2 linked regions of the Macaca fascicularis genome follow. Each later gene encodes a partner of the first gene's protein in a complex. Links are inferred from orthologs where the notes say so. Each region holds a gene or a part of one and is shown on either strand. Other genes may lie near its edges.

Region 1 (3,822 bases):
TGTTCGCCAGGATGGTCTCGATCTCCTGACCTCGTGATCCACCCGTCTCAGCCTCCCAAAGTGCTGGGATTACAGGCTTGAGCCACCGCGCCTGGCGACTACTGCAATCTTGACTTATCTTTATCCAAATGGCTTGGAGGCATTTCTCAGAATGAGGGGTTCAGAGATCATAGCATCCCCCTCACTGCATCTGCTAGAGAGCAGCGCGGCACTGTTTGGTGTGATTCTGTACTTAGTGGCCCCGGCCACCAGTTGCTGGGAGGCAGTACCTGCACTTCTACCACGTGGATGGAATCCCAGCAGCCTTTGATCTTCTTTGATCCATCTCCAGCCTTCTTTATGAGGATCACTCCAGCAAAGCCATGATCCAGATCCCAGAGGTAGACAGATGAGACGCCGCCTTCAAAATACCTGCAGGAAACAGGCCAATGTGCCTGTTAGATGCTAAAGGACAGATCATCAGCCTGGGTCCCAGGCTGTTGCTCAGCAAAGATTCTGGGATTTGGGGTCCTCCCTGCAACAGTTATAGGAGCCGATCCTTGGGTGTGTTCTGATCGTTCTCTGGCTCGGGGAGAGGGTGCAGCATTTTTGGGGGTGTAGTAGGTTTAGGCATCATAAAGATGAACTTGAGTTTGGGCTCTGCCACCTCCCTTAGCTTTGTGGTCTTTGGTTTACTGGACCTCTCTAGGCGTCACATTCCTCCCAGATAAAGAACGCAGCACGAGTGACATCCAGTGACAATCCATGCAGGCTATGACTACTGGAGTGACCACGGTTGTTCGATATTTCTGTCTTTTGGGTTACAAGGCAGATGAGAAAATACAGCAACAAACTCCCTACACGCTGATCCCTCCTGACCAGGGCTCCAGCTGGTCTTTCGGAGCAACTTCCTACAAAGCGCTAGCCGGAAATGAAGGGCTCAGCTTGAGACAGTGCTTCCTCCTCAAATCCGAGTCAATACAAAAACATCTCTCTCTCTCTTTTTTTTTTTTTTTTTGAGATGAAGTCTTACTGTCTCCCAGGCCAGAGTACAGTGGCACCATCTCGGCTCACTGCAACCTCCACCTCCCAGGTTCAAACGATTCTCCTGCCTCAGCCTCCTGAGTAGCTGGGATTACAGGTGTGCACCACTGCGCCCGGCTAATTTCTGTATTTTCAGTAGAGATGGGGTTTCGCCATGTTGGCCAGGCTGGTCTCGATCTCCTGACCTCAAGTGATCCACTGCATCTGGCCCAGAAACATTTCTAATTATGATCAAATGGAAGAGGGATTTCTAATTACGATCAAATGGCAGAGGGAATGAAAAGGTTAGATGAGAAATGGGAATCAGTCTGGGATCCCAAACCCAACAGACCCAGGTCAACTACTGTGGCTCGCTGGGGCTGCCGTGAGCAGAGGTGAGGGGTGGAGTCAGCTGATGGGAACTGCAAATGCTGGTGATAACCAGCGAAATCTCATTTCTTGTGGCGAAATCTGTAGCCTCTCCGACCCCAATTAAGCCCCAAAAAGAGAAATCTCATCTCTGCTGATAACCAGTGAAACTGTAAGCAATCGCATCTCTCATGGTGAGCACATCTTTATCAGGAAGTCTGGGGCCTCTCTGACCCCTATTAAGCCCCAAAGCCCTGGTGCGGCAGGCGTATTCTGGGAGCACACCGCCCTCAGCCCCGGACAGCTGGGAAGGTGGGCCCAGGCTTGGGAGTCAGACGGACCCAATGACAGCTCTAGCACGCCCAGCCCCAGCTATGAGCTATGCTCACGCATGCATGCGTCCAACTGTTTACTAAGGGACCAGTGGCGTGAACATGGACTTTAGGGACTTAATCTACTTTCTATGGCTGTTGAGAGACAAACAATTAGGAAAAGTAGACACCTACCAAACGGTTAATGTAAAATTAAGTACTAGAAATTAACATGTATCTGTAGATTATGTCTCACCAAAGCTATTCTATAATAAAAAATACACACGGTAAATGTGAATATTTACAGAATGTGGGTGATGGGTATACAAGAATTCTCTGTACTTTTTTTTTTTTTTTTTTTTTTTGCAATTTGACAGTAAGTCATACTGTTCCAGACTAAAAAGCTTTTGTGAAAAATCAGTACGCGAATACACCAGAGTGTAATGTAACTAAGAGACCATCAGACCAAGGAAGCAAAGCATCCTCCCAGGAGAATGAGGGTGCCCTGGCTGGTCTGCCCTCACTCCAACCCTCAGACCTGTGGAGCATCCAGGAGGGCTGATAACTCAGGTGGGCTACCCTTGGCCCCGCCCCGAGGGCTCCCTCAGGCAGGCTGCAGCCAGCCCCTGCGGCAGGACCACATTCTGTCCCGTTCCCTCTGTGGCACTAACCACTGTGATTAAGCTATCAAACCGAATACACCATGGTGCGCCCACAGGCGAGTCTGCAGGAGGGCATATGAGGGCAGGGCTGCCTGGCTAACACAAGTGCCACTCAGGGAACACCTGTGGGATGGATGTGTCAGGTGCCAGATGCTGAGCTCATCACTGGTCAAACTGCACAGGGTGGGGAAGGGCCTGGCTCTGGCAAGGTGTAGCACAGGCATCCTTTCCTTCTAGAGGAAAAGGACCACTGGATGAACAGACACACCTGTGGGGCTCAGCGCTCACTGCTGGCAGAGGTGATGTCCAGGACACCGGCCAATACTGGCACTCAGAGACCCCACTCCAGAAGATCATTTCCTTTATTCCAGTCTGTCTCCAAACTCTCCCTTCTTGGGGCAAGGCGAGCTAAGCAGATGAGTGTTTTGGTCCAGGGCCCAAGGCCCCATCTGCCTCCATAGGGCCCTCCTGGTCTGGACCGGCCCCATACAGAGTTGGAGAGATCAGGCCATTCTGGAATGTTCCCAGAACACCTGGAGAGGGACTGACTGCCCCTGCTAGACCTGAGGTTTAGCAGGGCTCAGATGACTGGCAGCATGGGCTCCGTGAGCCTTTCTGGCTTATTCTCCTGGATTCTTGCAGGTTAACTTACGAGGCACACGAACACTACCGAGAGAAGAGCAACTCAGAACAGACCTGCTAATACCCTTCCTGTTGGCGACAGATGGCTTGGTTCTAGCACACGGTTTTCTCTTTCAGCCAGCTTATAGGGAGAGCAGCCCCACATCAAAAGAGGGGGAAGAAAAACAAACAAAAAAACCCTACTTTGCTGGCAAAAAGGATGGGCCAATAATTCCTTCTTTCCTTTGGCCATTCTGGAAAGAAGGCTTGCAGCCCAGGGGCATTTCATCCTTCCGCTCCTTCACAGATCCACACAGAGCTGCGGTGCTGTGCCCGCCCAAGGCTTGCTCTCCTCTGTGTGCTGGGACACTGGGGAGAGGCAGGTCAGGCTGCCCTGGAGGGGAACCAGGAGAAATCCCGATGGCCTGACACTGTCGACACCCTCCGGCGACCAGTTCAAAAGCACCAGGTGGCCCACGGCTGCTTCCCCTCAGTCCCATCCCTGAGCGTTCCGTTTCTTCCAGAAAAATAAAACAACCGCATTAAAGTTTTATAGGGTGGAACTGGCCGTTTCCACTCCAACGTCCCACCCCGTGGCCTGGCTCCCACTACAGGCAGCTTCTCCTTGGCAGGCCACAGTGACCAGATCTAAAGTTTCAAATGCTGGAGCCAGGGGAGGTAAAAATGCAAGCTCAATTGTGACCTCCTTGCGGGGTTACTATTCTTTTACCCACAATTTTAAAACTTACTGCAGGAACATCATTGTTTTTTAAAAAAGGAAATCTGAAAATTAGCCCACAATACCATAAATCAACTTATCCCATAAATCTGATTTTTCCAAATTCCCTTCCAGTCCA
Region 2 (3,221 bases), on another chromosome or scaffold:
TTAAGTAGTTACTATGCTATAGTAAAGGTATGAAAGGGTATACCACAATAAAAATACAAAAAAAGAATTAAAGTTAAAATTTGAGAATTAAAGTCATTACGTAGAAAATACATTAAAACATTATTACAATCTATTGCTTGAAGGCATGAAGTTGGGAGGCAACCAGACTTCAAGATCATCTCTCACCTGATCTCTCTGTTTTAGTTCTCTAATCCAGAAAGGTGATCATATTAACCCTGAATCTTAAGGAAGGTGGCAGCATTAGATGAATTCCTAATATGTCACTGAACACGGTTTCTGCTACTTAGTGTTCAATAAATAGTAACCATGACTGATAAAGTTATTATTACTACATTAGTCAAATGCCCAGCTATACACACACTCAAGACAGTAACATTTTAAGTACCATCAAAAAGCATCAAAAATACCATGGTAAGTGTATATTTGGTATGAAAGAGAAAACAAAAAAAAATTTTTTTAAAGCTTACTTATCATAGATAAACTACAAAAGTTAGGACACTTCCATTTGAAAAACTAAGATCGAAATGAGATAATGACAATTATCACCAAAATTATAAAAGATATAGGTAAAAATTGTGCAAAACTACTCAGTTTCAGATTGTTAAAATGTATTGAGATCTCCTTAAATTTAATAGTTATGACTTAATAGAATAAATAAAGCTCATTTTCTTGTAAGAAAAAGATACCAGAATGTAAGGAAAGTTAGAAAAGCTCAGAACAGACATCGAACAAGCAGTTCAGCTTAAATGAAGAGGATTTAAATTCAGAACTCTTCGAAAAGAATAACAGCATCAAGTAAAGAGGATAATGAGGAGAAAGAAGAGGGGCAGAAAGAAGCTCTCAATGGATATTTCATTTCCATAGTTTCATGACCTGTAGAGCCGTTTCTCCTCACTTAGAAGTCTTTCCCCAATAGGTGCTGTTACGGGTTCCAAATACAATTAACTCTGCCCCTTTGCAGAAAATAATTTCTTGATACTCCTCAGCTGTTACCACTTTTCTAGGGAGAAAGCAGAGAACACACAGTGGTTTGTCGCCTTTGTTCTTTGAAGGTAGCTCACACTTCACCGTAGAAACAGTAAGCAAGATGTAGTACCTGCACTACCCTGCCCTTGAAACTGTTTGGCTTCTTACATTCTGACCATCTCCAAACCCACAATATTTGAAAATGCAGCTTTCCCTGATGTCCGGCATATTTCCATGAACTGCCATTGTATCTCATTTTATTTTTTACTATTTTGTTTAAACCCCTCGAAGCTTTCATCACAATGTAATGTGCTTCCAGTGGGTTTGGGTGGCTGCTCTGAGAGCCTGAGTATAAATCAACACCATTGTGATTCCTGAAGTTGCAAAGTGCTGTCACTCTTGAAACTTTGGGCTGCTTCTCTAGATCCCTGACAACATATAATGCACACAGAGACACACCACTTTCGAAGAAGACTGTTCAGGAGGCTAAGTTCTTAAAATCTTCAAAATAGGTATAGCTGGTTGGCTGGGCACCACACTGTCAGGTGACTGTCATTTTTTCCTTTTGGTCTGAATACCCATTGTGAAATCATCAGAGGTTCCACACTTCACAAGGAAAGCTTCTTATGACCTCATCAGGAGGCTCAGACCTTCCTAGACTGCCTGCTTTCATGGGTAGACACAATAACCTTCAGCTTCAATGTTAACACCTTGATGGGAAAGGTGTCTCATGGAATGTTTTCTTATCCTTTGAACACTCTTCATTTCAGAAGCTTTGCTTCTGTTGCAACCAAACATGACACTTAGCGTGCTCAGCAGGAAGGACAAGGAAAGAGTAATTCGCAGACTGTTATTACAGGCACCTCCAGGGGAATTTGTAAATGCCTTTGATGATCTCTGTCTGCTTATCCGTGATGAAAAACTTATGCACCATCAAGGTGAGTGTGCAGGCCACCAACACTGCCAAAAATATTCTGTACCACTCTGCATCGATGGAAATCCAGTACTCTTGTCTCACCACAATGTAATGGGCGACTACCGATTTTTTGACCATCAAAGCAAACTTTCTTTCAGATATGACCTGCTTCAAAATCAGCTGAAAGACATCCAAAGTCACGGTATCATTCGGAATGAGACAGAATATCTGAGAGTTGTTGTTCTGTGCGCCTTAAAACTGTATGTGAATGACCACTATCCAAAAGGAAATTGCAACGTGCTGAGGAAAACTGTCAAAAGTAAGGAGTACTTGATAGCTTGCATTGAAGATCACAACTATGAAACAGGAGAGTGCTGGAATGGACTTTGGAAATCTAAATGGATTTTCCAAGTTAACCCATTTCTAACCCAAGTAACAGGAAGAATATTTGTGCAAGCTCACTTCTTCAGGTGTGTCAACCTTCATATTGAAATATCCAAGGACCTGAAAGAAAGCTTGGAAATAGTTAACCAAGCTCAACTGGCTCTAAGTTTTGCAAGGCTTGTGGAAGAGCAAGAGAACAAATTTCAAGCTGCAGTCTTGGAAGAATTACAGGAGTTATCCAATGAAGCCCTGAGAAAAATTCTACGAAGGGATCTTCCAGTGACCCGCACTCTTATTGACTGGCAGAGGATACTCTCTGACTTGAATCTGGTGATGTATCCTAAATTAGGATATGTCATTTATTCAAGAAGTGTGTTGTGCAACTGGATAATATAAAGAATTGCTCCTGGTAACTATCTTGATTTGACTCGTTTGTGTTTCTGGGGAATGGTTATTTTCCTAAAATTGAGCAATCTGTGGAGATGTCTCTCACTTACCCAATGCAAATTTAAATGGGAAAAGTGTAACAAGTAATTTTACTCGGGGAATATTGATGAATAATGCAAGAAAGTGTAAAGTAACTGTGTTTCATGGTGGTGACCATCATAAAGACCAAGACATTTGTTAGAAACTAAAATAGTTTTATAGAATATGGGATTCCAGAAATAATAGAGAGGTGGCCAGGGTTAAGGCTGTGTGTGTGTATGTGTGTGTGTGTGTGTGTGTATGTGTGTGTGTGAGAGAGAGAGAGAGAAAGAGAGAGAGAGACTTTTGACTTTGTTTTGAACTGAAAAGGTATACAAATGAATATCACTCCACAAATGATATTTTACATAACTCAATTCAGTACTGGACCATCCACGAGAGGGTGAATTTCAATAAATGACATTAGGTTTGGATTTTCCACGAAACCAACAGATATCAAAAATCTAGC

The links.
Region 2: CAPZB (region 1) and CAPZA3 share a complex: the UniProt entries of both Homo sapiens proteins name them as parts of the WASH complex. The link is inferred for Macaca fascicularis from reciprocal best matches to the Homo sapiens genes CAPZB and CAPZA3.

What each region holds. Positions count from the first base shown.
Region 1 is NC_088375.1:215,725,800-215,729,621, reverse strand, and holds part of CAPZB (F-actin-capping protein subunit beta), read right to left. Parts: intron 412-3,822; coding exon 270-411; intron 1-269. UniProt on the Homo sapiens protein: F-actin-capping proteins bind in a Ca(2+)-independent manner to the fast growing ends of actin filaments (barbed end) thereby blocking the exchange of subunits at these ends.
Region 2 is NC_088385.1:21,536,637-21,539,857, forward strand, and holds CAPZA3 (F-actin-capping protein subunit alpha-3), read left to right. Parts: upstream 1-1,479; 5' UTR 1,480-1,783; coding exon 1,784-2,683; 3' UTR 2,684-2,696; downstream 2,697-3,221. UniProt on the Homo sapiens protein: F-actin-capping proteins bind in a Ca(2+)-independent manner to the fast growing ends of actin filaments (barbed end) thereby blocking the exchange of subunits at these ends.